3 linked regions of the Drosophila melanogaster genome follow. The protein of the gene in region 1 interacts with the protein of each later gene in a pairwise test. Each region holds a gene or a part of one and is shown on either strand. Other genes may lie near its edges. The genes, in order: Orc4, Liprin-gamma and CG6923.

Region 1 (8,781 bases):
TGACTGACTGCCGACTGCCGTTGACTTTTATTTATTTAATGTTTCGGCCTTAGTATGTGCTTCTTTATTATTTTATTTGGCTTTTCCTGTGCCTGTGCCAGTGCCAGTGCGAACGTGATCACCGTCTACCTGCAATGACGAGCGAGATCGCTGCAAAACTGGATTAAGTCCCTTCTACGCCCTAATCCCGGATGGACTTGCTGGTCCTTGCTGCGATGCTCTCGTACGAAAGGAGAAGTCCTGACCGAGACCTGAGACCTGAGACATGGCGCCAGTCAGTCAATCGAGGCCCCTGACGAGCACTAATAGGATCAGCAATGCTGTCTGAGCCCTGGCGTGAAATCCGCAAATGTTGTTTACCCTGCCCGAAAAGGGGTTGACCCCTGACCTCTCTGCACACCCACTCCCCCGAGTGCAAAGTATGGCAAGTAGGTGTCTCTGTGTTTATTTGTTTTGAGCTCTACAGCGCAGCAACTCTCGTTCTGGCCTGCTTTTTCGACTGTCACCACTGCTCAGTCTTGAGCACCGCCAAAATCAGAGGCTGTCCGTCCGTTGGATTGGGAGGAGTATGAGTCAACAGAAATAAGGTGATGGTCTCGAAAAGTTCGCATCGATGCGATGCTGATGGGAAAATCGGGTGAACAATGAGAGCCGAGAAAGGCGCACAAAGCTCTCCTCTGGAGAGCCGCATCAAGATATGGAAGCATATACTGGAGTCGGGGTAAGTACTGATCCGGCCATCATTATGGCTTTCGATAGCAATTATCCGCTACCGTTTAATTGCGCGCTTGGCGATTCTGTGGGCTGCTGATGGCTGATTTTTCACACGCACTTGCCGCTGCCCACCTGACGATCCACCTCCCCTTCCCCGCACATTGGGCCGATTGAACCACCACCCACTCTGTGAATGCTGTCATGTGTCTAATGAGTCGCTGGCCCAGTTCGCAAGTTGGCCCAAAGTTAGCGTCCTTTGTGTAATTTGCACACTTGCATGGGCATTTGCATTTCCTATTTTCCCCATTTCACAGTTCACATTTCCACTTGCCACTTTCGCATTTCCATCTACCACGCACTCCGATAGACGGATGGGCTCGCCGGAAACTTTGAGGGTAATTTGCATATGGAACTTTTAAATCATACTGCTCGAAGTTGGCCCACGACACCTGGGCTTACGTCTGCAATCGCAGGAGGAGCAGCTGCGTCGATGGACACATTTATCAAGGAACTCGCAGTGCGGCGTGCCCCGAAATAACTATATTTTCGCAAACAGTATCCCAGATTATATTTCACAATTGTAAATTTATCAATCAGTTATCAGGCGAAGTGACTGTCCTAAACGAAATCCTTAAGATTCGCATGGTATCTATAATTAATTCACTGAGCATAATATTTCCCAGTTTATGGGCGCCATAAAGCAGTTTCCGAGATCCCGAACAAGCGAGGCAAGTCATCTCATGGAGTGGACAGACGCGATCACTTAATTACCTGTGTGAACTTTTCAACTGCGCCCCAGTAGGAGAAGGTACAGTGAGCACTCGCTACGGCGGCGAGGCGGGCGGGGCAAGCAGTTGCAGGTGGGACTGACGTTTTCACCTTGTTAATTATGCGCACGGTCATGCTAAAATCGCGTAATGAGTGACGGCCATTGAGAGTTGCATTGTCAGCAGAGAATGATAGTTTAATCGTGAGGGGTTCTGGCGAGGATTGGGGAGCAGAGCGGGCCGGCTGGTCACAGGGTGTCCTAGCACATGTACAGCTTGGAGGGCTTCATTCGGCCGTACTCCCCGTTCTCGGTGACCGCAACTTTGAGGCCCGTAATGCCGTCTTGCTCCAGCATCTTCAGATCCTCCAAACCTTCCGCAACCTCCTGGGCGGTAACCACGAACTTCTTTGCCAGGCGCCTGCGGTTGGCGTACTTGAGGAAGTGGCCGTCGCCGTACCGCTGGCGACTCGTCAGATAGATCTGGTCAATCCGCTGATAATGGCAGCACTGCATCTTAGGGTACCACGCGAAGGTCTCCTGCCAGTGCCTCGTCGTCCTTTCCATGGCATGACTGAAGGCGAGCTGGTAGCGCAGCTGCTCCGTGGTCACTATGTCCGCCGGCATCTTGTCAGGGGTGTGGGGTTGTGTTTACTTTACTTCGTGTCCTTCTGGTTGTGGAGTGGATTGATATATGTGTCCGAAATGTGTGAAGTTTGTGGCTGGCCCACCTGATTGGCAGCTGAGTTGCCAGTCCCGAGTGCCAATCCCGTTTTCTGTGTGCTCCCTAATCGCATTAGCAGCCACTTGACAGACGACAGGTGCAGTGCATCCAGGTCACTGCCAGCCACCTGTGCAGAAACTCTGCACATAATTGTTAACGCTTACGAACTGGCCTAGTCTGAAACCTATGTACATGTTTAAGTTAACTTTCGTCACTACACTATATTTATTTTCGTAAATCTCAGTAATGTGACAAATACATCACATACAGACCCACTTAGACTTACTATATTTACTATATTGGTCCTGCTGACCCCCATCCAATACTAAAACGGCATAACACCTTACCAATATTTCTGCTTACGGGTTGAAGAGCCTGGATATTACTGGATTTGACTGTTTAGCTCTTGGTAAAGTATAGGATGACATCGGTGCGCGGAATGCCCGCGACCATCCATGTGCTGTTCATCATGTATCTGCCATCGGGGATGATCGACTGGACCAGCTTGTTCAGATGCTGCACGGGAAGCTTGTCGAGCACGATGTCGTGCTGTGGGTGGGTGGGTGAGAAAGGCGAAGGTTATGCGGCATGAACATGGCAACGCTCACTCACGTCGTAGGGGCAGGTGTGGTTCAGGTTCGAGTAGGGGCCGAAGGTCTGGTAGACCCAGTTGGCGATCACGTGCTTGCGGTCGCGCATGAACTTGCAGGAGTCCACCTTGAAATCAAAGTTGTACAGGACTCGCCTGTTCTCGCGCATCCTCAGCTGGAATCTGGTCTGGAAGATGGTCGGGTGGTGTGAGACCGACACAGTTCTATACTCTTACCTCGCAGTTGTCGACGGGCAGGCGGAACATCTTTGTTTTTAGCGAAAGGTACTTGTAGGTGCGGTTCACGGACTTCAAGTAACAGTACTCAAAGTCCATAAACATCCTGTCGCGCACGAGGCAGACTACATTATTGAATTCGAAGTGTCCTCGGATCTTTGGATATCAATTATTCTATAGTGCCATCTATTAGCCATACGCATTCGATTCTTACTGCCATCGGAGACATAAAAATCAGCAGAAAAGTCCACAATCCGCTCATTCCTAAAGAGGTCTGGATCACAATAACCACAATACCGAGTGCCAAAAGCTGAAGCATTCCAAAAGTTATTAATTGTGATTACTCGATCCATTGCTGTTATGAAATTGCCAGCCGATATTAAATAATCTCTGAGAATCCATTGAGTGTTTAATAACTTATTTTAATGGACATTTAAAATACACAGCATTCCAAATAAACCTATTCCAGCAAATTGACCCTCAAAATGCCAACGACTATGCGATTAATAAAGAAATTTGTTCATATTTTTAAAGATGTTTATATGTATAATTGATTGTTATTTATAGAGTTACTATTGTACATATTCCTCAATCGTAGGTCCATTTTGTATGAACTAAAATGTTGATATTTCAAAATGTGCTAAAGCCGCAGAAATTAGATCGTATTGGTTTGTGGCACGAATATATTTTTCAGGCGGCTTAAGGCAACACTGAGTAGTATCAGAGTTCCAAACCACCGTACATTAAATGAACCAATATCGGTTTTGTTCCATCCCCAATGCATTGTTGACGTTTTTTGGCGCGACTTAATTACTGGCAGAAATCCAAACTATCTGTGCGTCCATTTAACTAATAAATAAGGAGGAATAAAGGAGTTCCGATCCGAGAGCGAAAATGCCGGAGGCGGATAGGGAGCTGGTCAGCATCAGGCGCTTCCTGAAGGAGCGCCTCCAGCGAGACTACACCACCTTGAGGGGCTACGCAAAGGAGCGGTCCAATGTGCGCCTATTGCTGCAACGCACAGCTGAAATGGGGGAATCCAACTCCTTGCTGCTCCTTGGGCCGCGGGGATCCGGAAAGACAACGGTATGAGTGCAGGCCTTACCGGGAAACCAATCCAGTAATCTATGCTTTCAAATTCTTTAGCTCATCAACTCCGTGCTGGCCGATTTGCTGCCCAATAAATCGTTCGGGGAAAACACTCTCATCGTCCACCTGGACGGTAATCTGCACACGGACGACCGAGTGGCCCTGAAGTCCATCACTGTGCAGATGCAGCTGGAGAACGCTGCGGATGGGAAAGTGTTCGGATCGTTCGCCGAGAACCTCGCCTTCCTGCTGCAATGCCTCAAGGCGGGTGGCAAGCATTCCAAGAGCGTGATCTTTATTCTCGAGGAGTTCGACCTCTTCTGTGCTCACCACAACCAGACCCTGCTCTACAACCTCTTCGACGTCTCCCAGTCAGCCCAGGCGCCCATCTGTGTACTTGGCGTTACCTGTCGCCTCGACGTGATCGAGCTGCTGGAGAAGCGGGTCAAGTCGCGTTTCTCGCACCGGCAGGTCTTTCTCTTTCCCAGCTTGCGGCGCTTTGAGGATTACGTTGACCTGTGCAGGGATCTACTGTCCCTCCCGACCGGCAATTCACTGTTGCTGGCGGCGGAGAAAATCTATAACCTACAAAACATCCAGTCGGGGGCACTTTACTTCTCCCGCAACCATTTTGACCCCGGGGAGTACGGCTTTTCGCCCAGACTACGCGATGCCTGGAACAAGCAAATATGCAAAGTCCTGGCCACTCAGCAGGCAAGAAGCACCCTCCAAGCGCTCCATGACTTCGACATTAGCGAGGCCTATCTCAAGAACTTCCTATTCCGCCTGGTGGCACATCTCCGACCGCAATCTCCCCACATCACAGCCGAAAAAATGGCTGCAGTGGGATCACAGTTTGAGGGCGACGACAAGATAGAGCTGCTTTGCGGGCTCTCAGTCCTAGAGCTGTGCCTGATCATCGCCATCAAGCACCATTCGCAGATTTACGATCGCGATTCCTTCAACTTCGAGATCATTTACGCGCGCTTTTCCAAGTTTGCCAAAGTGTCCACCACAATGCAGGCCGTGGAGCGGTCCATTGTCCTGAAGGCCTTCGAGCATTTACGCATCGCAGAGCTGATCATGCCGCTCACCGGTGGAGCTGGAGGGGGCGTAGGTAAGGTGCAGAAAGAGTTTGAGATGCATAAGCTGGCGCTGACATACAGCCAGATTCACCACTGTATGCAGCGATACCAGGCCCTTCCCACAGAGGTTGCTCAGTGGGCGCAAAGCTCTCTGATTTAGCAGCAGATCAGAAATACTTTGTATATTTATTTATTTAAAAAAAATTGTACCGAATCATTTAGTTGGTAAAGCCCTGTTTTGGGAAAATAAACTAATTTTAATTTATAAAACGTATATAAGAGAAAAGACAAGCATTTACATACGCAAGTGGTATGTACTATAAAATTTAGTTCTTATACAAATGTAAGTAATGTAATGTGTATGTATGCACTTAATTATGGCCAGGCATTTAGGTCAGGTTAGTTCAGTTTTATCTGCTTTGCACTTTCCGATCGATAATGCTAATTCCTGGAGTCACCCGCATTTCTATTCCACGCAAGATGCGGGTGGATCTCGCTATATAAAGGCCACCAATTGTGGAGCAGGAGTCAGGTGAAGCTTCAGTCGCATCAGCATGAGAATCATAACAGTCCTGTCTGTTTCGCTCTTGGTGGGTCTTGTGGCCATAAGCCAGGCAGACGACAGTAGTCCAGGATTCTTCCTAAAGATCACCAAGAACGTACCGCGGCTGGGCAAGCGAGGCGAGAACTTTGCCATAAAGAACCTAAAGACCATTCCTCGCATAGGACGCAGTGAGCACGTAAGTTATACCCATGGGCTTTCTTAAAGGATATTTTTAAACCATGAACTGTTTTCAGAGCTCTGTTACTCCTCTGCTGGCGTGGCTATGGGATTTGGAAACGAGTCCAAGCAAGCGGCGCTTACCCGCAGGGGAATCCCCAGCGAAGGAGCAGGAACTTAACGTGGTGCAGCCCGTCAACTCGAATACGCTCCTTGAGCTGCTTGACAACAACGCTATTCCCAGCGAGCAGGTGAAGTTCGTCCACTGGAAGGATTTCGATCGTGCCCTCCAGGCAGATGCCGATCTGTACAGCAAGGTTATCCAGCTGGGACGCCGTCCGGACCAGCACCTCAAGCAGACTCTCAGCTTTGGCAGCTTCGTTCCCATCTTCGGCGACGAGCAGAATCCGGACTTTATGATGTACAAAAACAACGAGGATCAGGAACTTTACGGCGGGGGAAATCGCTACGATCGCCAATTCCTCAAGTACAACATCCTGTGAGATGTGGAGTATTCGATTTGAATACGGACAAAGGAATATGACATTATAGAAATACATGTAACTTACCAACACTGCTAGCTAGTGTGTTTCAAATATATCCGGAACCTTGAAAATGGTCCAAGAAAAAATTTAAATATCTTTTCAGTTGAATAATCCCAGAAAACAAATGCCTCTTTTGGTAAGTCCAAAAAACACCTCTAAAAACGATAGTAAACATAATAAATTTCGGCCATATGGAAATGACTCATCCTCTATCGCACGATGGTCTGAATATAACGTAAGTCTTCTCCAAGTCTTCATTAGAATGCTTTCCCATAAGTACGTAAATACAAAACCAAATGGAAAGAGAAAATCGAAATCCGGATTGCAGTTGCTTGGATCAGAGCCTTTCTTTATCGCATTCCCGGATGGAATCGAATGGAATCAGCACATTAACGGTGCTTCTTTGACCAGGTCCACTCCACTGCAATCCGCACCTCAATCTGGCGAGTCAACAACCCAGCTGTCTTCTTTTGGCGGGGATTTGGGGATGTGGGGTGGCTGACTCAACGCAGCGAGCTCGGGCTTATCAAATTTATGGGGTCCGTGATGTTAGGAAATTCCAGCGATCGCATTCTTCTGCTCCCTTTTACCGACTTCTACCTTTTAATTGAATTAAACGATCTGCCCGCGAATTGAATTCCCAAACAGGATGATGGCGCCGTCGCATTCTGGAATTTGATATGTTTATTTTGCTTAATTAGCGGGCTGCTGTTAAGTATGCTGACCAGAATTCGCCACAATCCAGTAATCCCGCGGCTCATCAACAACTTCAATTACAAGCCCGGCTTGATCGGACTCAGACGCGATGACGACGCAAACTTGACTTTGAAATTTTTGCAATGCCTCACTGATGTTCGACTCGGTGCTGGTTGTTATTGTTTTTGGTCTTTTTGATTGTTTACTTTGGTTTTTAATTTCTATTTTCAGTGCAAGCGTAGAACAAGTTTGATAGTGGCTCCAGGGGCTTAGGAAGACAAATGTAAGGGGGGACTGGGAGTCGTGCTTAAGCCTTTTGCCCAAGCGCGACTGAAATATTTTGCTGTCGTGTATAATCGGCTCGAAGGACTCTCAGATACAATCTGTATGAGAATCTATAGTCTATGAAACTACACTACCTAACACAGAATATTTAAACATTCCCACACATTGAGGTTCCAATTCCCCGATGGCATCGACGTGCGCCTCTGTTTTTTTCGGGGGGCTCCCGATCCCCCACCCGCTGCCGCTCTCCCTCTCGCTTTCGCTCACTGCCGCTTTCGCTCTGCCGTGCGATGGCGCTCTCTGCGCTCTCCCAAAGCCGATCTCAGAGCTTAAATACGTGTGGAGCGCCAGCGCTGTCCGAAGACGACTCACTGACATCGCCGCGATCGGTTGTTCGACATAGTACTGCAAGATTATAGTGCTCGCTCCGTTTCCGTTTCGCTTGGAATTCGCCGTTTTCGTGATCGACTGGTGGGCGCCCCTCTCCCTAGACCGACTGACTCCCCCATCTTGCCGAGAAACCGATGTGTGAAACAAGCTTTTGCGTTTCAAGCTGAGACACACGTACACCCGAAAACAGCGATAATACGAATTGGCCACGCTCGTTGTTTGGTTAATTCAATTAAGTGCGTCGGACAGAAGAAAGCCACTTGGCTAGCCACCGAAACCAAGTGATAATCTATCAAGCCGCCACAAAAGCGCTTTTATTGGGCCCTAAAAAAAAAGAAAGTCGCCACACGAAGGTTACACAACCGAACCGTGCAATTGACCCACGGAACACGGATCACAGATCACGGAGCACGAATCCCCTGAACTCTCCGTGTAGTGCGGAGTACGCAACATAAAAGCAGCAACGACACCATGACGACTGCGGCGAAAGTAATCTTGGCCTGCTGCCTGCTGGGCGCCTTCCACATTCAGATCAGCTCGTCATCGGCCATTCCCATCTGGGAGTTCCTGACCCGCAACGAGAAGGTAAGCGAATTGCACATTGCGCATACGCCGCGTCCGCCAGGTGCAGGTTGCGCATACGCCTCGTTTACTCCACTTACACACGGCAATTGTCCTTGGCATTGCGCATCTGTCGAGTGGAGTCTGTTGAGTCTATTGAGCTCGATTCAATCTGTCGAATCTAGCGCAGCGCTGAATACTTGATCAGCAGAGCATGATCGTTAATAATAGCGATATTGATATTGATATGGATATGGGTATGGTTATGGATATGGTGTTGTGATAACTTCAATGAGTTCGCTGAGTTCGCATATTAACGGCGCTTTGCGCGCTTCTGTTTTTGGGTTTCTCTCCGCACTTTTCAGTCCGTCGAAGACAA
Region 2 (9,653 bases), 2.4 Mb from region 1:
AATATGAGCGAAATATTCTGGCATGAATAAAAAAGAAGGGAGCTGAAAAAGATGATGGCCTGCTTGCGATATTCCAGTTGATTTGAGACCATGTCGGGTAGGGCACATAAACACAAAATTGAAACTCCGATTGTCATACATTTCAAAATAAAATATCAAACTAATAATGTTTTATCTGATGCACAAGTATCGCAGAAATAATCATCAATGCAATAATCAAATGATGATGTTACAGAAAGCATCTGGGCTTTTAACTCAAGATCATATTTTATTAAAGAACTCTTATACCATTTCTCTACGAGCATGTGTCAAATTTCAGATTGTAAGGAATTTTAAGTACCATGTCAAATTATATTAATGCATACAGAAAGCGATTTACCGGGAAGCAATTTCATGCAACTGCTGCACGCAATTCGAGGACAATGTGAACCAAAACCCGAGGGTCCTTTGAGTATTTGGCAAATTCGCCAGCGTTAATTGGTGGGCGTGGCCAGGTGGCCATCTGAAATTGAAATTGAAACTGGCGCTGATTATCTGGTCGACCGCCGCTGGAACACGTCCGTCTGCCACCCACTTGGCATGAGTTGGGGCAATAAAAACTTATTAAGCGATGCTGAGGACGCGGCACTCGCAACTTGCCATAAAACCCGGACAACATGGGGAAGCCCCAAAAAGCGGGGGCCAAAATAGGGGAAAGGGAATCGTGATGGGAGGGCCAAAAGGATAAATGGAGAAACATTTGGCAGAAATGTGTCGTTGCCTTGGGGCAGGACCGTAATAAAAACGAAGGAATAAAACGAAATAAAAATATAAAAAATGCGCATACGCCGCATTGGCTTCGCCTGCCTTATAATAGACATTAATAATATATCGCCGTTTCCGCTCCAGACTCCTTCTCATCCGATTGCAGTGGCAAGTGCGATAAACCGTTTAGCAACATCCGGAAACGGAGAGAGAGAGAGAGCAGAGATAGAGCGCTATGGTCGAGTGTCGCGACTATTGGATACCCGTTAATCAGATGGAGAGGATAAAGATAAAAAAGAAGAAATGAAATGCCTTATCATTTCCATTAAATTGGTTTTAATAGTCAGATTTTTGCTATGTCATGCTTTTCAACAAATCGATCATACCCTTGTACTCAACGAGTAACGGGTATAAAAGAAGGAAATAGTGTAAAGCACAATCCTAGCGAAATTGCGAAATTGCTGCCCTGACCATCCACTCTCTATCTCTGGACATTTACATACTAATTCGATTCATTACTGTCCAGCCAGGGCTGGAATCTTAATTGAGGTAATCAATGCATCTGTAAGCTGATTTAGGTTGAGTGGTTTCTTTGGACCCCAATCGGCTTAAAATTCAATGCATTTTCAATTTGGCATATTCGCATCTGGCCATCCTTGAACTCTGATCGAATTCAATAACAAGAATTGTATAAGAAGTACACGCAAATATTTTGCAATGAGATATTTGCTCATATGCACACACAATGGCCGTGCAGCAACAAAGGCTTCAAAAAGTATTGGGAAAACTTTGGCGACGACTCCCACCCACAGCAGCCCACTGCCTCCACTTCTCCACTTTCCATCTGCTAACTTTTTGCAGTGCCATCTGCGGAAAAGTTTATTGCGATAAATGAAAATAGGAAGCGCACAACGAACAGTTACAACAAGATGTTGAAATAAGTTGTCAAGCCAACGCATCCGGCTGTTTTATGTATTTTCTACTCCCATTTTTTTCCTGCTTTCTGGGCGTGTATAGTTTTCCACTTGTCTGACTGCGGCGGCTGTCGGCGATAAGCGCAAGGCATTGATAAACATCCCCATTCTACGCGGCACCGCAACTCCATTTCTTTCGCAGCACTCCCGTCTCATGTCCTCCCCCCTTTTAGGTGGGGATGGAGTGGATGTCAGGCAGTGACAATGGCTATGCCGTCCCCACAATTGGTTGGCTTGACAAAACGCTGGCCGGGACTTGTAATACACCTCAAAAAAGTAAGGGTGTCCTGTAGTATGGAACATTATCTTTACACCAACATGTAGATGCATTCAAAATGTCTGGAATTTGCTATGATATGTTGAAAGCCCCCACGCTTAGATCTTGATATCATATTATAACGATGCCAGTAGAAATTTAGTTGCTCCTAATGCAATCTTAGATTCTTCTCTCACTGCATCTGGCTCAATTCTTAAGGTTGAGGTCGTCGTAGTTGATTTTCCGCAGCTCTGCAGGCGGCAGGTTGGAAAAGTGGGCAAGGGGAAATGGAAAAGCGGGTAAATGGAGGGTTGCTGGGGGCGGCGACTGTCAGTGGGACACTTGGCTGTCAATGGCAGTTGAGTTACGACAAAAGGGAAGAATTGCATGGCAGAGACGTTTCCTTCGGCTTCCATGGCTTGTGGAATTTTTCACGCGTCACCTGTGGCAGATAGTGCTGCTCCCGCCGCCTCTTCTCGGCGGGAAGTCTTCTGTCTTGACTTTGTCGAGGGAGTCGGAGTTTTGCCATATATCCTAGGCCTTTTCCGATGGAGGAGCCGAGTTGAATGAACTAGCACCGTAATCGATGCGCCTCCGTGTGTGCGTTTGTTCTGCCGCCATTGTTCGGGATATCAGATACACATATCCTGGCACCGATGGCGGCGTCTGCCAGGAGAGCCACAAAAAAGGCAGCAGGATGGGCTCAGCAGCCGCTTGACATTCATTTGATAACATTTTATTAGCATCAGATGATGGCGGTTATCTCATGGCTGCACTTCACATTTCCGCAGGCAGACAGATGGCAACCACAATGATTGTCAGTCAAAATAAAGACAAACAGTGGCCGTGTCCATGAGTTTGCGGATGCGAAGGGTTCGAAGGGTGGGAGGGGTATGGCAGGAGGATGTATATAGGATATATCGGACCGATTCAGTCAGGTGCAAAGCCCTCTACGTGGCTGCGGCTAGTCACGTCTGCCACTTGTGCTTATGAATGACACTACACTCTCTGGCACGGAGCGGTAAAGGGATTTATCCGGTTCAAGTCCTGTGAGCTCAGGATAATGCACTGCAATGGCTCTCATTCGGATTACTCCACCCTTACGCGTTGATATGGCAATCGATTCCGCTTTGAATTGCATAGTTGCGATGCGGGAAAATAGGTTTGTTTATCAAGCCAATCGAAAGGTAGTAATTGAAAGGATTGCAGAAGAGGCAAAAAAATAACACTTTAATATGAAACTCAGTTATGAATCAATGTTTCCAGTTAAATGTAACTGCAAAGCTGAATCAGAAAGCCACTTTTATCACAGCTGTCAGAATTGTTAAGCCCTTTCAAACTCAATTAAACCATTTAGACTTTAAATGAAAATGCCATTTTCGTTACAATCACATTGAGAGAACAATAATATCAATTTTCATAGATGAGGCGATGCGATTTCTTTGGCTGAAATATTTTGCACGTGTTCATTAAATCTTTTCACAATAATTTGAGCATTTGCTGTCGGGATCATATTATACATGTTCAGCTTTGAGTGCAATACTCACATACTTTCGATTCCTTTGTCAATTTTTGCCGCAAATGATAGTGTACAGTCAGATTGTTTTACAATTAGTAGGAAAGCATGCAGACTGCAGTTGTCGTTGGCAACCTCAAAGTGCGCAACATCCCCACATTTACCCACTTCATCCTCATTTATTGTTTTGAGGCTTTTCATATTTTGAAATAGTAACTCCCCGCCTGTCGCAAACAGTTGCAACCACTGACATTTTTGGTCTTGAGATATTTCATTAGAGTAAAATCGGGCTGTGTGGCCCAACCACACAGTCTGTAAATTGTTTCGTCCAAGTTAAATTGCGGGGAAAATGTATTGTGGCGTCCAAACAAAGTACAATTTATATTGCTGATTAATTGAAAACGGAGGTGGTGTCGTTGCGATTCAGAGCCAGAGCTTGACCTTCGTTTTTGGGAGCGGAGGAGCAACAAGGATTCGAAAGGATTCTTGCGGGACGTTCGGATGGAAAACGTAAACAAACACTTGTCCAAGGCAAGGCTAGGTCGGGTTTTCGAGAGATCCCTGGTGGCTATTTCTCCAGCGATTGCGAGCTTTCGCCAATGCGCATGGGCGCTCTTGTATCCTTTTTCCCATCTCGCTGTGCCTAAGCTTTCGTGACGTCACATGGACGCCGCCAAAACGGCACTCGGGCCAAATGCCAAGGACTCGAGCTCAGTGCCATTCGAGTGATTCGCCCAGTGAGACGTTCCAAGCGCCAGAATTGAATTATTCCCCACATATCCTTCGGTCTCGCTCTCGTTCTCTCTTTCTGTCCTGCTCTCTTCGCGGAGAGTGTGTGCTGGTGTGCGTGTGTGTTTCAATCAAAATCAACAAGAGCATAGCCGAAAAAACTTTCAACCAAAGCGTGTCTAACAAATTAGAAAGCCAGAAAAACCAAATAAAAAAAAAACGAAAATAAAAGAACCAACATTGACTTCAACTGTTGGCCACGTGGTATGTGGCCTTCTTGTTTTTTCAGTCAGAATCCGAGGTAAATTTTTCGAAAACAAACAGACAGACACAGCATCGCCGAAAACAAGAAAAACACTGCGGAGAACAATCGAATTTTTGGGGGGGAAAAACCACCGCCAGTAAAATTCGGTCAATATTTGTGCGAGTGTGCGTGGAGTAGGGAAATTTTTTGGAACTTGTGTGTCACTCTGTTTGTTGTTGTTTCTGTGCGCAAATATAAAGGAAAACCAGCGAACAGCCAAATAGGGAAAAATCTGTGTCAGTCGCGAATTACGCACTATCTCATTTGGGAATTTCGGGCCGCTTGGGTTTTGTGAATGAATAATCAAAGTGTTTGCACGCATTTTTAAACCGATTTGCGCCTGTGCAAATCTTTATTAATTTCCGAGTGGTGTTCTTACTAATGACAACATCAGTAATTGCTGCCAGACACGAAAATCATATTTACCTGCACAGAGAGAAAATGCAGAAACCATTTCGTAAACGAAATAGGCTTACTTCTGACATATATCAAAGGAGCTGTGACTGCACTTTTAGTAATAACTTTAACTTGGTAGTGGTATGTTTGGTGGTTTTGAGTTTTTCAAGAAATCAAAGCCATATGGGTCAAAAGTATGCCACCTGGCTGAATAAATCAAAAGGAACCGGCGGAGAACCGCGGGCGGTAAATGTTGCATATTACGTGAGTTTTTACCACGACCATACGTTACGCATACGCCATGTGGGCCCCCTCCGAAGGCAGCAAAGGCTACCAACAGTGCGTCGCGTAATAAATCGCACGACAATAACTCACGGCACCCAGGAAGGGGGTTGAAATGATGATGGGGATTTGGGACAATAGAAGGGGTAAGCAACCAGAATCGGGTCGGGCTGTGACCAGGAAAGTCGCAAACTGAAAGCTATTAAGCCGAAAGACTTAAAGACTTTTGCTACCCACCTCCGGGGACGGTCTACTCCAGCCCCCTCCCCCGCCACAATTTCCCCTCTCGCTTCAAGCCAAACCACGCACACACACACACACACACACACACACATCCGTTTCCTGTGACAAGGAGCAACAACGAAAACTCACTTAGCCATGCTGCCTCAGCCTCTGTGTTCGCCAGACTCACTTGACATGCTCTTAATACCAAATAAAAAACAAGAGCTCAAGGACGCTGAGAAAACACTCCGTTCCACTTTTGCACTGCGAGTAAGGCCAAAACCCCCAACGCCCCGGCCACGCCGTCATGTGTAAATTTTTAATGTTACCAAGACCCCCAAATGTAGGTTATCAAATTGTGTTCAAGTTGTCTTCGCCAAAAGCGCCGTAGAAAAAGTTTTAGCGCTCGCCGTTTCCCCGGTTGGAAAACATTTTAAATGATTTTGTTGTCGGCGGTTGGTTGTTTTTCGTTGTGTTTCCCTTTAGACGCCCCCTGCCAATTGGGTCAAGCATTTACATTTCACGCCTAGCGAAAAACTCAGTCAGAACTATGCTACTTCGTCACGCCCCCATCCTGCACGCCCCACTCACCACGCCCCACCACCATTCGCCGTGTTGTGCAAGCTCTCCAACGTTCGGTAGTGGTGCATCTATTTAGTCAAATTAAAAACACAAATTCAACTCTGCTCTGCCGGCTGCCACTAATTAATTGCAAACTAAATGAGTTTCTCGGCATAAAACTTTATCCACAGCAAAGCTGATTGCTGTCAGTTTTGCGGCCGAAGGAGGAGCAGCATTCTACTGGCGATGTAGATTGCAGCGAAATCGCTTGGCAAAGAACAGGGGCGGAGATTGGTTTATGTGGCTCCCCTTCTCCCCGAGAAGGAGCCCTGGCTCAAATTGTAATTTGTGCAGCTCCCACACATTCCATTCTCGCTCCATTGAAGTTTTCTGGCTGAGAAAGGGGGGCGAAACCATCGAGTCATACAGGAAATTAGGGCTAAAAGCAAGTGTAAAACGGTCAGCGCAGTGAAAACTTTCTAGCCCGAAAAGGGAAAAATATTGGAAAAAATTCTAACTTTCGAGTCGAAAGTTCACAAATATGTGAATGGAAATACTCAGCATTCTATTTAAACTGCATACGTTTAGACACCTATTTAAGTAACTTTATACGTTCATTTTTAATTCAACTAAAATTGCGTTTGAAGGGTTTTTAAAGGAGGTCAATGCAATTTCGCTCTCTGACATTCCCCTCAAGTGAATGGCTGGGTTTAGTCATCATGTTATGAGTCACACAGCAGGATATGTACGGTCAATGAAGTTAGCCTTTCGGAAATAAAGTGTTCGCTTGCAGGTAATCGAATTGAATGCTGGCTAGCAGACGGCATCCAGGCTCAGCCAGCTGAGCCAGCTCAGCGAGTCGAGTTGAGATGGGCAGGACCTTAATGATGGATGTCAGGACGGACAGGATGACCAGTCACTCACTCATTTGGCATTGAGGGCACTGAGCCATTAAATTCCCACTTGGCGTGTGCGGCGGATTGGATTTCGATGGCTGCTCGCGGCGTGAATCTGTTAATTCAACTTATTAATTTTCATTGAATTTCTCCGTTCGCCACTGTCACAGTCACTGTCACTGCCAATGTCAATTGTCACCGAGTTGTGGCGCCCTAGGGCGGGCATTGACATTATGGCACTTTGGGGTGTGCTCGTTGGTCTGTGGTTTGTGCAATCAAGTCGGTTCGAATGGTTTTGCTCAGCACAAAATACTGCATTAATTTGCATGCATTCTGTAGGCCGACATTCAATCGATATGCCAAAACTTATTGGCCATTTGTTCGGCCAATTCATTTAAATCTTTTCCATCTCAAGCCTTTGATTTATTTAGAGCCTGAGCTCCGGCTCATGGAATGATAAATTAATAAATGTGTGCATTGAATCAAAGGCAACGGCAATAAATTTCAAATATTTTACCTCCCATTTTAAGAACGAAAGCCACAGACGCACACACATGGATACTTGGAATCGCCCTTTCAAATGAGCCTGCCTCCGAGTGCTGTCACACTGGAAGAAGTGAAGAATTTAATAGCCAAGCTGCCACTTAAGAAAGCTCCTGGAGAAGATCTTCTTGATAATAGAACCATTAGACTTCTCCCAGATCAAGCATTGCAGTTCCTTGTCTTAATATTCAACAGCGTTCTTGATGTTGGCTACTTTCCGAAAGCTTGGAAATCGGCGAGCATAATTATGATCCATAAGACTGGAAAAACACCGACAGACGTTGACTCGTACAGGCCCATCAGCTTACTCCCATCTCTGGGTAAAATTATGGAGAGGCTGATCCTAAACAGGCTGCTCACATGCAAGGATGTTACCAAAGCGATTCCCAAATTTCAGTTTGGCTTCCGGTTGCAGCACGGTACTCCTGAGCAACTACATAGAGTAGTGAACTTTGCTCTGGAAGCTATGGAAAACAAGGAGTATGCAGTAGGTGCCTTTCTTGATATTCAACAGGCATTTGACAGAGTCTGGCACCCTGGGCTCCTGTACAAAGCGAAGAGGCTGTTCCCGCCGCAGCTATATTTGGTTGTTAAAAGTTTCCTGGAAGAACGCACATTCCACGTCTCTGTTGATGGGTACAAATCATCAATCAAGCCAATTGCAGCTGGAGTTCCTCAAGGAAGCGTTCTTGGCCCAACCCTATACTCAGTTTTTGCTTCGGACATGCCTACTCACACACCAGTCACAGAGGTAGACGAAGAAGATGTGCTCATAGCCACCTACGCTGACGATACTGCTGTGCTCACGAAAAGTAAAAGTATCCTGGCTGCCACTTCTGGTCTACAGGAATACCTGGATGCATTCCAGCAATGGGCTGAGAACTGGAATGTGCGCATCAACGCTGAGAAGTGTGCCAATGTGACGTTCGCCAACCGAACAGGTAGCTGTCCGGGTGTCAGTCTGAATGGGAGACTGATCAGACACCATCAGGCTTATAAATACCTTGGTATTACCCTCGATAGGAAGCTCACCTTCAGCAGGCACATCACAAATATTCAGCAAGCGTTCAGGACCAAGGTTGCTCGGATGTCTTGGCTCATTGCACCACGCAACAAACTGTCGCTTGGCTGCAAGGTCAATATTTACAAGTCCATATTGGCCCCCTGCCTGTTCTACGGCCTGCAGGTATACGGCATTGCTGCGAAGAGTCACCTTAATAAGATCCGGATCTTACAGGCGAAGACCTTAAGAAGAATTTCGGGGGCTCCTTGGTATATGAGAACAAGAGACATCGAACGCGACCTCAAGGTGCCCAAATTAGGAGACAAGCTCCAGAACATCGCCCAAAAATATATGGAAAGGCTTAATGTACACCCCAACAGCCTAGCAAGGAAGCTAGGAACTGCAGCTGTGGACAATGCTGACCCTCGGACTAGAGTCAAAAGAAGACTCAAGCGACACCACCCTCATGACCTCCCTAACCTGGTTTTGACCTAGAAAGTCTTAGTTTTAAAATTCATTAGAATAATCAAATAAATAATAATTACTATGTTATATCAACTATTATAATTCTCCCTATCATTTTTAGGATTAAAAATCTGTTAGTCTTAAGTAACCAAGACACATTGTAAAATAAAATAATTTAAGCAGATCAAATTAAGTTGCCGCATGGGTAACAGTGCGTTGATCAAATAATAAAAACATCATCGTAATCGTAAAAAAAAAAAAAAAAAAAACACACATGGGACCCCAATAAAAACCAATTTATGAAGCATGCTTCTCAGGGCAATTGCCTGCCCCCAAAACACACAGCCCAAGAGCTTAATTGAATGCGAAGGCAACTGCATAAGGAGCGTCACCGGCAGGCCACAAATCAAATAAGTTGGGCGAAAACAGGTCAAGTGCTCAGCCTGAACTTCAAGTTTGATGCTGGGAGCTGCTAACTGGGAGCAAGATGCTTTTGGACAAAGGGAAAGCACTTAGTTGGCCACCAGCAACACGCTCCTTTGACTCATGATTTGAGATGTGTGTGTGTAGCCAAACAAATATATGTATGTACACACGCTCCTGCTGACTTGCAGTTGAGTGCACATAATCGGGATTTGGCTTTCAGGACGAAGAACGAGCGAAAAGGCAGAAAACTCTACGAAATCCTTTCAATTCGCCACCCACTTTCTACTTGACGAGTCCCCCGGGCGGCGGCTAATTTGTTCTGCTTCGACACAAATT
Region 3 (12,610 bases), on another chromosome or scaffold:
CAGGCCTACATGGATGCCTATAGCGATGAAAACTACAATCCCAAGCCGCCGGGTCATTACACTCGCAATCGCTCGCAGCGCAATCCCGCTTCCTCCTTGTGCGGCTACGGAGGGCGTATGTCCTCGATGCACGGCCAGCGGGCCAATAGCCGTCGGTCTTCCCGAAATGCGTCTCGCAATGCATCTGCAATTTATCCGAATAGCGGGGGCTTCAAGACATTGAACGTCCACGAGGAAGATGACGACGATGAAGGTCTGGAGGCTTTTGGCCACATCGATGATGATGATGAGTGGAGCAGGTCTAGGAGGGAATATCAGCAGCAGTGTGAGACGCTGGGCGAGGATCGCTTTAGGCGTCAGAGCGGAAGCGAAGGCGACGAAGTGGAAGATGATGAGGATGGAGAGAATGAGGACTATCAGCACTATAAGCATTACTGGCGCGAATTAGACGAGGAAGAGGGCGACGACTATCTGTATGAGCAGCAGCAGCGCGTCGATGATAAATTCGGGGAAGAGGAGTTCGAGGACGAACCAAAGGAGGAAACTCAAGCTGACAATCTAAAGCTATCGAAAGCTTACGTGGAGCAAGTTGGCGAGACCAATGTGGAGAAATCGAAGCCACAGGACGATAACGGTGGGTATATAAGGGAGGACCTTATTATGGATAATATGGATATGAAGAAAAACACTCAGCAAAGCGAATTTGCTAAGCTCACCATAATGCGCAACGATGCGCAGACGGAGGAGAATAAGATAATGCAGCAGCAGGATGAGGAGAAGAAAGAGGAAAAACAGCAGGATGATGTTGATGGGGCTAAGAAGCAAGGACCATCAAGTGATATTAGTGCTACTACCATCACCGATAATAACAAGCTGCAAACACCAGTTATGACTACAACACACATTAACAACTGGCAAACTGGCGATGCAATTGAAGATGATGATGTTAAACTATTGGATAGTATTAGTGATTTAAATGAAAAGCTACCTGAAATTTATGAGACTGCAAATATTGTTGTCAACTCAGCGGCAGTGCCAGCAGCATCGACACCAGCAGCATCAGCAACACGCCCACCAACCGATAACCCAGAGGAAGATGATTCGAACGTGACCAAACCGACGACTACTGCTGAGGGGACAACAATGCAAACGACTTTTGGCATGTCAGCGGAAGAGGAGAAGCCTGTAGCCCTATCCCACACCGCGGGTCACCACAGCAAGACCGGCCGCACTGTTAACTTTGCCCCCGATGCATATCAGAACGACGAGGATGCCGATATCGACGAGGACGACGACTACGATGACGAGGAGAATCTGCATGAGCACAGCAAGCAACAGCTGCCGTCCAATGCCTACACTCGTAAGCAGCGACAGCAGCACCAGCGGTACATTGTGCCACGCTACCAGCTTGCGGATCAAGTTCCTCAGAGGCAGCACACCGAAAACTGGCGTTATCGCACCCATCACTCGCAGGAACAGCAGCCGACAGCGGACTATCGCAAGTATCGCCCGCCGTTTAGCACCGGAGGCGGCGGTGGCCACCATGGCAACCAGCAGCGCAATTACCTGGGGAGCTTCTCGCACAGCGGCGGTGCCGCTGGTTACAAGATTGCTCCAATGCCGCCACCAATGCAGCCGCCTCCGCGGCACAACAGCGCCGGAAGCAGTGGCAGTGGTAGCGGCAGCGGCGGATCTCCGCCATCTGACGAGCAGTCGGCCATACGCAACTGGCGTCAGGATTGTGTTTACGCCCGCAGTTGCGGGATGAACCAGGGACCGGAACAGCAGCGGCACAACCGTTCGTCGGGTCAGCGTGTCCAGCAGCAGCCGCGGATTGGCAGTGGACGCTTCGCCCACCTGCAGGCGGCCCAATTGATGGACGAGTTGCCTGATATGAGGATCGGCCTTTCGCCGCCCAGCGAGAGTGTACTGCTCCAAAGGCGCCTGCGCCAGCAGCAGCGGGCCAACGATCTGTCTGAGTACTGCGAGCCGGCCACCGCCAGTGGTTAAGCGGGTCCACTGTGGACAGATAACTCTGTTTTTTTTCACGCACATTCTCTTAAAACCAACTTTCCAGTTCTATCATTCTTTTTGGTGCAACTTTTCAAAAGCTAACGTTTATTGCAAAAGTGTATGCAAACTATTTAAATTCAATTGATTCCGCCACTGCAAACAGAGTTAACAAAAACCCCAAAAACAAAAAAAAAAAAAAAAAAACAAAAAAACGATAATAATAAAATGATGAATACTTGTGGTAGGAGAAAGCGACTGCGAAGTGAAACCAACTGAAACCGAGGGAAATTGAGAGTGGCAATAGTCTACGCTGTTTTGAAGCAAGCCAAACAGTCGTTCGAGATGAAAACAACAGAAAACAAATACCTTTTTTTATAAAAAAGATTCAAAAAATTGTAATTTATATTGCAGTATAATTTTTTATTATGAAAAATAAAAACGAATACGAAAAGTGTTTGGTCAAGAGATGCATAAAACACTTACGACTTTTCTGTTTTGGTGAAATTGCTTAAATACTAAGTACTCTTAAAAATTTGTTCATGCCTCTTGATTCAAAATGATGATAATTTTACAACGCCCGTTCCAAATACCAACATGTACAACATATGAAAATTGTTAATATTTGAATAGTATGTTTTTATTTCTCATGACAAAAATTGTTATAGGAAAGGATAAACGGGCAGCAAGAATAAGTTGATTTTACAAAGTTAATTGAATTATCAAAATTTCGAGTCGCTCGCCAATTAGTTGGAATCGAAATTTACACTTAAAAAATTAAACGCTAGTAAGTTATTTCAAAGAAATTGACACGTACACAAGATAAACTGCAATATAAAGGTAATTTTTTGTTACAGTTTATAGTTTTGTAACGTGTATATGCCAATTGCTTGGAAATAGTTTACATGCGTACAGTTAATTATTTCAAAAAATACTGAAACATATATTTAATTAAGCCCCAACACTTCTCTACACTGACATCCATACACACTAAGGCCAGCTACACTGGGCAAAAATCGAACACACTCTTGACATTGCAAGTTGCTCAACACGTTTTGATGGGCGTAAATGAAATAATAACACGCAAACCAATTTTGTTAAATACATACACCTATAATATTTAAAAAATTGTGATATAAAATGTAAATGTAAATGCACCTGAAGAAATCTATCTATCAAATGACGCTGTGCCATCAACAACCACTTCAATCTACTGATAAGAGGAGTATCATTTTCCACAGACCTTATTTGTTTACGTCCCACGAAATCAATGTCAAGTGCATGCTGCATACACACCAATTCTTCTATTTTTCCAACCAACAGCAACTTGTGCGAAAAACTTCCAAAAAACAAAAACAAAATAAACGAAAAATTAAACTGACCACAAAAAATAAAGTTAAATGCAGACATATGAAATCATAAATGATTGTTCATAATTTTAGCTCAAAACGCTGCTGCCAAAAAAAGTTGCCAACGGCCTCGTTTTGGGTTTGGTTAAAGTTTTGAACATTTGCTAATAATAATAACAGCGTCCAAATAATTTATACTATTCATGCAATGAATTCCTACAGAAGCAATCAAAGTTGCACTGAAACTGAAGTATTGAAGTGGAAACTATCGCTTTCGTTTGTTTGTAAAACTGTGAGGAGTGTTTCGCAACGAAACAAAAAAAAAACAAATAATAACTATGAGTTGAATTTACAAGCAGCGCTGCTTAAAATCCGATAAAACTACACTCAAACAAACAGCACCTTGGTTTAGAAAATGTCCGTTAAGCCAATGGTTAAACTTAAGTCGTTACACTGGTCAGCGCAGCTTTCGAGAAATGAACACCAACGAGAATATGGGGAAATCCTGCAGATAATTGATTAGCTGACCGATTTAATCAAGGAATATTTGTATGAAGCGAATTGGTTTTAAAATTATGGCTAAACAGAATTGGAAACGAAAGCCAAGAGAAAAGAATACGAAGCCAGCAATAAAAGAAAGAGTAGATATTGTTTTATACATATAAAAACTCAATAAAAACACTAAATACATGATATGTTAAGGCTTGTGCTGTGCATATGGATTTATTTCAGGCAGCAGAGAAGTATAACCAGTCCCAGCAGGCAGATAACCCAGTTCAAGCACCGCGTATTGTCTCCAATGGATACCATGTGGTAGGTTGGTGCCTTCGTTTCCGGGAAGTGTAGAACCATCAACTCGGGATTCGTGCTGTTCCTTTGCGTGGAATTTTGCTTAGCCAAGCATTCTTTAAGCAGTCTCTCCAAGAAATGGATCCTTTTGTACACGCACTCGAAGCCCGTGTGGTAATCGTAGACTGATGTCCCATTTCGAATGAATTTGCCCCATTTATCCACTAGAAACCAATCGAGATTGTTTAGCCGGCTTCTCCCAATTGTAATGAAGAAAACTCGAGAATCGTTTTCCACATGGAAAAAGGCGTACTTGTGGTTTTCGTCCTGATTGTGGTAATGGGGAAGAGTATAATACGTTGAAAGTGTCTTTTTCTTTGACCTTCTTTCGTGTATGCCCCGGCACAAAAACACGAATGTCTTATTCTTGATTGGCCAGCATTGTGGGCTTATTCCCATGTTTACATGAAAAGAAAATGAAGGAAACTATGTTTGTGATAGCAAAACTAGAAAATGTAATACAGTTTAATTAAGATTAACATTAAAAACCAGATAATTATGATTCGCAACTTTCCAACTAAGAGTTTCTTTGTATGTATATATTAAGCTTCCCTAAACAGTGGTAAGTAGTGGTAGTATAGTTTCTAACGGTATATTTAGTGCCAAAATATTTGAATTATCAGTGTGGCCATACTGCGCAACTTTAGTCTACGAAAGAGCTAGCTAGCTTCTATGCGATAGTATCGCCATCATCGCCGAACTGCAAGTTTTTGCACCGTCGAAGAAAAAGTTGTCTAAATATTTCAGTTCGGTGTTGTTACTGCTATAAAATCCAGTAACACATACAAAATGATTAAATCGTGAGAACATATATATCGCAAATTTGCATGTGCATAATGTAAATTTGTTCCGGACAGCAGCTGCGAATGAGAATAGTCCCCCGCCCCCGCGAAAAGAATTGCATTTAAACTCCCTTGTGTTCCCCAATAGCAGCTGTTGGCCTGCCAACCCCCACCACCCACTCTCTTTGTTTTGCCCAATCGGAAATCCCCACCCGGTTATTCGCGTAATCCCGGCTTTAGGAATTAAGAAAATTACCAAAATCGCAATATTTCTGTGTTACACATATAATAGAGGTAAGAATTATTTTGGGGACATTTGTTATCATTGAACAGCTGTTCATAGTTTGCCCACAGCCGAACAGCTGATTTGGCGTTTTCCCCAAATTGAAGTCAATAGTATCGAAACATTCAATATACTTAAAGCTGAATGTTATTCGTAAATTTTAATTTAAGTTAATACAAAATAAACGCATCAGCTTAATATCAGCTTAGACATATCGATATGCTGACATATCGATACAACGCTCATCCCTATTGCGTTGGCTAAAATAAAGAACTGCTGAACTTAATTAGTAATAAGTTGTCATAAGTTATTTAGAGCTTCCGTGGAAACCCCCATCATCCCAGTGCATGGAATCCGATAAAAAGTTTTCACTTTTCACTGCGGCGCTTGTGTTTTCCCCACGTAGCTTTGGAATTTCCTGCTAACGGCGATGAAAAACTTGACGGAAAAGTGGTGCTGACAAAAGAGTGTGTATTTGACAAGCAAAGAAAAAATTTCCGTCTTCAAACTTTATTTTGAGCTTTAAATCGTTTTTACTCGCTCGAGAACTGTGCAAATAATAGCCCCGAATTTCCATTTGGAGTACCTAGAGTACATAGCTGGCAATAGCTTTGGAACCCAAATACTTAACCCACTGCTTGTTTTTGTTTCTGTTTCCGGACAAAAAAAGCAAACTGGTCTCTGTTAGACAGTTGTACCTCCTCATACCCGTAAATTAAACATTTTTTCGTACATATACACAATTTTAGCGCATTTTGGCCTGCATGCGCTGCAACGCACCTTTGCCGTTCTGGTAACGTTGCCCACTAGACGACTGAAATGGATAGCTTGGAGAACGACCAGGAGGAGCTGCACCACCAGCCGAGGGTCACCTTGGCGTACGGCAGTGTGGCCACCAGTTCGGGTGGACAGGAAAACCGTAAGCTGGCCATCATCTGGAACCAGATAGTGCTAATCCTCTTGTGCTTTTGCAGATTCCCAGTATGCGATGTACTATAATCAGCAGAGGGATTCGGAGGGCTACATGCTAATGACGCCCTTCCTGTCCAGTTCGCAGAGCCACAGCCACACCCGTTCGCCGCCCACGTACACCGCCATGGTGGAGCCACGTCGCGAAGAGAGTTCTGGATTTGAGGGCTTGGCCAGGCGGTGTGACAAGTGCAGTTCGCTGGACGGACTCTGCCGCTGCGAATCGATGGTGGCCAGTAGCAGTCGCTATGCGGACTCCACACAGAACCAGTCGCATTCGGAGGCTCAGTTCTTGGAGCAGCCCTCATCCTCCACAGCGGCGATCGCCAATCCGCCCGCTGTTCATTCCATTCCACGACCCAAGCGAAAGAAGACTGAACCCCTGACAATGGAGCCAGAGAGTGACAATGACGGCGACGCGGTGGTTGCGTCCGTCAGCGGCACATGGCCTGCCGGTGCTATAGAAGAGCATGCTATGGACTCTACGGCGGTCGTTTACGAGGTCCCCTCTAGTTCGCTGCAGCTCAGCAACAGCTCCTTCGAAACCGCCCCAAGTGCCGTAAATGCTTACGATGATGTGACATCGAGTGCCTCGGACACGGAGCACGGCCAGTTTGCTCATACGCGTACCACCAACACCACGACGACTACGTCTGCCGTTCAGGCTCACAAGAAGAAGGCCAGCCGCTCCAATAATGCCTCCAACACCTCTTCCAGAGCAGTAGATACGGATGCCACGCCAAGCACGAGTGCCCAATCGAGAAAGCGACAGATGAGTCAATTTTCTTATCGCAAATCAAGGGTTTTGGAGCCGGAAAACGAGAGCAGCGATGATGGCTGGGATTTGCGTGTGCATAATCCCGTTCCACCAATTGAGCCCACAGTAACGATTATCCGTGGTAGCAGGGGGTCCGACGAGGCCGAGATAGGTCATACGGATCACAACTACTATAATAGTCGGTGCGCTGTGGCGGGAGCTCCACCGGATAGTACCTACATTAGGTCAGCCTCCTGCTCCACGGCCACCCATACTACACGTAGCGTGGATTATGGATCTCGCATTGGTCGAAGGTCGGCTGCAACAGGATCACCGTCCACAAGCTCGGATCAAGAACAGGAGCAGCAACAGCGCCAACAACAGGAGGAGATTATTCACGAAGAACGGCGTCATCAGCAGTCACCAGGCCAACCCATGCACAGTATGTACGGTGTTCCCGGCGAGTCTAGAATGTCATGGAGTCGTGCGCGGCCCTCTGACGACTCAGTGCCGCCTAGGAAACATGCGCGCATGGAACTGCCCGGAAGATCGCGTTCCAAACTGTCCTCAACGAATTTTAATTCGTTCTATCCTGGAAGGAGAGGACACCGAACCTTTGCGGAGCAAGGGAACAGTTCTGGGCAACATCATGTGCGGTTTCCACCATCCTCGACGCCGAATTCGAACGGGCCCTGTGTGATTACGTACGTCGGCCGGCCAAGAGATAGTCAGCCCGCCGCGGATCTCAATCTTCCGTCCACATCCACGGGAAGACGTGGCAGCCATGAGACCCGCGCCGATTCCGTAGTCTTGACGGCACCAGACTTGCAGCTGGATGATTGGTCATCGGACGATGATGATGATGACGTAGTATTTGTGCACTCCACTCGTGAGCCCATACTCTCAATCGATTTGACATCCGACGACGATGGCTTGGCCAATGATACGCAACTGCAGAGGGATAGGGATAGGGGCCGTGAAAGAGAACGGGAGCGAGCAAGGGATCGGGAACCATATCGTAATGACACTCAACCCAACCCGGAGGATCCAAATGAGGATAGGAGGACCATGTATGACTGTGCTTACACATTCCCCTATGCTCGCAGGACAGATCGTCGTACAGAAGCGAATAATGAGGGCACCTCTGCATTCGCATTTTATAGTGGCGCTCTAGCTGATCGGGCTGCCATTTCGGACCACAATTACAGCTACGAGCTAGACCAGCTGATGGATCCCGGCCCCGGTAATTTTTACCCGCCCCGCTGCTCCAACATGGATCCACAGCGCTACTTCCTTCCGATAAACGAATCCTCGATGTGGATGCCAGGCCATCCCGCTCCCCCGCCACCTCCGCCCCCGATGCCCCCAATTTTGCTGCCTGACAACTCTTCCACTGAGGCATACTTACGTCATCAGCAAAGAAATCTTACATCCACTCCAAGCAGCTCGTCCAGCGAGCAGACATCAACGCAGCAATCCCGCCACAGGCGAAGTAGCCCGGCGAACGTGTATCATCGTTACCATCCGTACTATTATGCGATAACAACGCTGCCAACTGTGGTGGAGTCGGACTACCCGCCGAGTCTCCAGCCTCACCCTCACCCTCATCCTCATTTTCAGCCCAGTCAAGGCGGAAGCAGTCGCAGTTCTTTGAGTGGAGCTTTGAATGCGGCTGCAGTGGCAGCCACAGCGGCGGCGGTACAGGCACAAACTTTTAGTGATTTGCTATCACAGGCCCATAATGAGGGACGTGCTGCGGCCCTGGAAGGCAACCGGACACCTCCACATACAATGGTGCATGCGCAACACCAGCAGCGGCAATCCATTAATCCGCCAGCGCCAGGAGTGGCATCAAATGCAAACCTGGCGGCAGCTGTTTCTCCACCACCGCCGCTTGAAATGTATTCCGGACGGAGCACCATTCCGCACTGCGGATCTCCGCCGTTCAGTGTTCGACGCTCCGAAGCTGCGTATAGCAATAGACAGCACTATCAGCCGCAGCCGCATCAAGGTCACCAGGCACCGCAGAACCAGATGCACGCCCACATTCATCCCCCTCACCGGGCCAGCGCCATAGTGGCCACCTCGCTGACGCCGGCTCCACCGTATCCGGTCCATCAAAATCTGTGGTACCGCCAGCAAAGCATGCAGGAGATGCACCGTCGCCACATGACGCCCACACCTATCGATCTTTCTTCGAATGCTCCGCTATTAACGAGCACGCTGCGAAACGGGTACCTGCATAGCATCTGCAGTTGTGTTCATGCTCGGAACGGTCCCGTATCAAGCCTGGATCCCGCTTACTATCCGCCGTACGACGCTGCACCGGCAGCTGCTGCTCCTCCACCATCTCCTCAACAACAGTCGCCTGCTACATCCGGTTCTGGCAATAGTAGCGTGGCAGCACAAGCGAGTATGCGACATCTGCAGCTTCAGCCCCAACAGCAGCCGCAGGCTCAGCAATCGCCACCAGTAATGCAGCATATGCAGCGCCAGCGGGCCATACACCACCACATGTTCCATCACCACTACTCACCACTGCATCTGGAGATTGGGCTGGCCCCCCTATCTCTGGGCTCCCGTATCCTTATCGCACCATCACGTCCAAACCGGGGAGCTACTTTGGTAAGGCCGTATAGAAATCAAAGTCATACCTATTTATATTAATTAGTTTTTACGTTTATTTCAGGAAACTATTGAGCGGAATACCTTGCCTCACAAATATCGACGCGTCCGAAGACCCAGTGAGACCGATGAGGATGCCGAGAAGTGCGCCATTTGCTTAAACCTCTTTGAGATAGAGAACGAAGTTCGGTAAGTTCAATGTGGACGTTACCTTATAAAGTTCTCTAATTATATTAAATAACAATTGCAGCCGCCTGCCGTGCATGCATCTATTTCACACGGATTGCGTGGATCAGTGGCTAGTCACCAACAAGCACTGCCCCATTTGTCGCGTCGACATCGAAACACACATGCCCAACGACGCTCTTCCCCCCAGCTCCAGCGGAGTCCCAGATGCCGCCAATTCCGCCGCATTATGACATTGTGTGCACGGCATCTTTATGTAAATCCCTCAGACTGAGTTTGTTCTCGGCATGCATCGATACAAGAACAAAGAATGAAATATTCGTAAAAACCCCTATATACATACCTTAAAATGTTTAACCCACCGCAACGTATGTAAAAGGCAGTTGCCACAGCTTGCTGCCGTGTTGCGCTGAAAGATATCAAAAAGCTAAATTTGTTTGGCTCAATTTCTATGTCTAAGTATATTAAGTGATTCGGCAAATAATTTCCTATACATATGTACAAATTGTCTACGTTTTGTGAAACAAAATTCTTGTGATAAGAATTTCATAAATATGCGTATATTGTTATAGTATAGAATTCCCACGACGGGCGTATATGATAACTTTGACCCCAGCTTGTTGTTATATTTTTAATGATCACACAAAATAATATAACATCGGACCCTAAACTTAACCGATTAGAAATCGATTTGGCAATTTGCATTTTTCTTGAGTAATTATTTGAAGGACTTAAAATCTGGACGATTTCCTCTCATTATTTAACAAATTTTGTTATGTTTTGATTAGTCACAAAAATGTAGAGAATAATCTTTTATTCTATTACCAAAGACCCTAGAATAATTCTATTCTATTCTAGTGTCTTTGCTATTACCAAATTATATATAGTACATCTATTTAATTTAATAGATTACGGATTATTGCTCAATATCTCATAACGTGCCATATATAAGTGAATTGATTCGATGCAATTTTTTAAATCTTGAGCTAACATATTTTAAAAAGGTTGGTTTTATATTATAGAAAGTTTCCTAAAACTTTTAAAAATTGGCTGTCTAAGACGGCAGAAATCAATAAATAATCCAATAAACGTCTGTTGATTTTTATTCCACCGATAAAAATACGATACACCTTTATTTCTGTTTGGGGTTTACATATTTTATTTTAAATCAGTTCTATTATCAATAACATTTCATTGTGAAACTTTGTGTAAAATCTTCGTCCAACATATTAGGGATTGGGGTAGCTACTACGTTTTGACGGTTTCAAAGAGGTTCTATCTTGATGGGTCAATTCATTCATTTACTATTAATAAATCTGTGAATATACACTACTGCATAAAAGTCATTAGATTAAGCATTGCATTAATTCATGTAAACAGAAGTGTTTGTAGAATCGCCTCACATTGACCCACCAACTATAAATCATTGCTAGCAAATATATCGTTCTAGGCCATATTACTGGGTCCAGCGCCCGGATCATCATCACCATCCGCGTTCTCTTTGGTCAAGTCGGAAAAAAAGTCAGATGCATTGCTGCATTTTGAGGAGGGCAGATTGTGACGCTGCTCCTTGTAGGCATTGTGTTTCTCATTGTACTTGATATCTCCAAAGTCCTCGAAATACTTTACATTCCAGAATCGCACGTCGTTGTTGTGCGAGGATGATGCGATGAGCTCACCGCTGGCATTCACGTCTAACGATTCGATGGGCATGTTATGCTGTCCCACAACGCCGAGATTACGATACGGAGCGATGTGACAAGCTCGAATGTTTCCATCCTCTCCGGCGACGCAAGCAATCCGGTCTGTGATGGGGATCATTAGACTAATGGGGCTCTTGATGCCCGGATACATGTCGCAGTGGTACCCAAATTGGCCCCAGTTGTAGGTGTACAAGCGACCCTTGGAGGTACCAACCACCAGCTTGGAGTCACCGCGGTAGACCCCCATGCAGTTCAGCTCCTCCTCGTACGGCTCCGATTGCACGTACATCTTCCGTGCGGATATATTAAATGTAGTCAGGTAGCCATCGGCACTGGTGGCCAGCAGAAGCTTGCTTTGCTCGTTAGTCGTCAGCTGGGTGATCTGATCTTCCAGTTCTTTTAGCTCGAAGATGGCGTTCTTGGTGCGCAAATCCCACAGCTTGACCGTACCGGCATCATCGCCCGAGGCAAAGAGATTTTCATTCAGAACGTGCAGCGTGTTGATGGCATCATCGTGGGCCGTCTCGTATAGCTTTTTTAGTTTCTCCGTTTCCATATCGGTGACCATCACGCACTTGTCTTTGGAGCAGGTGAGCAGGAAGCGCCCATCCTCTGTGAACTCCACATCGCGGCATGCTTTGGAATGAACCTCAATAGTGCGCAGCAGCTTGTTAGCCTCGTTGTCATACTCGTACAAATGTACATCCCCGATTATTGTGGCCAAGGCGATGATGTCGCGATCCGGATGAAAGCAGATATCTGTTATAAAGTCTTCCAGCTTAATCTCTGGAGGGGAACTGCGTGGCTTCTTTATGGCTGCTATCATGGCACGTACAGTCTCGTCTGTTTCGTCGTCCTCGTCCAAGTCGAAGGTGGCTTCTGGTTGCTTGTTGCTGCCCGATGGATTATCGTCATCCTTGCGTTTCTTTGCACTCGTTGCTCCTCCGGCGGTGACACCACCCGCCTCGTCGAGCATTGAATCATCTGAATCGGAGTCCGCTGCATTTGGATCGAAACTGTCATCGCTGCTGCTACTATCGTTGCCTTCGTAACTAATGTCGCCATCGTTATCCGGCACTGGAGCACCCATGTCTACC

Evidence for each region.
Region 2: the proteins of Orc4 (region 1) and Liprin-gamma interact in a two-hybrid assay, tested with the Drosophila melanogaster proteins (one large-scale study listed by BioGRID).
Region 3: the proteins of Orc4 (region 1) and CG6923 interact in a two-hybrid assay, tested with the Drosophila melanogaster proteins (one large-scale study listed by BioGRID).

What each region holds. Positions count from the first base shown.
Region 1 is NT_033778.4:24,792,436-24,801,216, reverse strand, and holds Orc4 (origin recognition complex subunit 4), read left to right. Parts: upstream 1-3,802; 5' UTR 3,803-3,924; coding exon 3,925-4,116; intron 4,117-4,176; coding exon 4,177-5,364; 3' UTR 5,365-5,477; downstream 5,478-8,781. Other genes in the region: CG3611 (uncharacterized protein), read right to left, coding at 1,742-2,107; CG12849 (uncharacterized protein), read right to left, coding at 2,604-2,753, 2,817-2,981, 3,031-3,186, 3,245-3,292; ETH (ecdysis triggering hormone), read left to right, coding at 5,759-5,944, 6,003-6,428; Reg-5 (rhythmically expressed gene 5), read left to right, coding at 8,313-8,426.
Region 2 is NT_033778.4:22,349,255-22,358,907, reverse strand, and holds the start of Liprin-gamma (Liprin-gamma), read left to right. Parts: upstream 1-4,199; 5' UTR 4,200-4,520; intron 4,521-9,653.
Region 3 is NT_033777.3:11,742,372-11,754,981, reverse strand, and holds CG6923 (uncharacterized protein), read left to right. Parts: upstream 1-4,952; 5' UTR 4,953-5,284; intron 5,285-5,493; exon of another isoform or gene 5,494-5,740; intron 5,741-5,956; exon of another isoform or gene 5,957-6,022; 5' UTR 6,023-6,092; coding exon 6,093-6,192; intron 6,193-6,247; coding exon 6,248-9,624; intron 9,625-9,688; coding exon 9,689-9,813; intron 9,814-9,874; coding exon 9,875-10,043; coding exon of another isoform or gene 10,044-10,070; 3' UTR 10,071-10,499; downstream 10,500-12,610. Other genes in the region: Lk6 kinase, read left to right, coding at 1-2,010; CG43062 (uncharacterized protein), read right to left, coding at 4,083-4,607; CG14722 (uncharacterized protein), read right to left, coding at 11,257-12,610.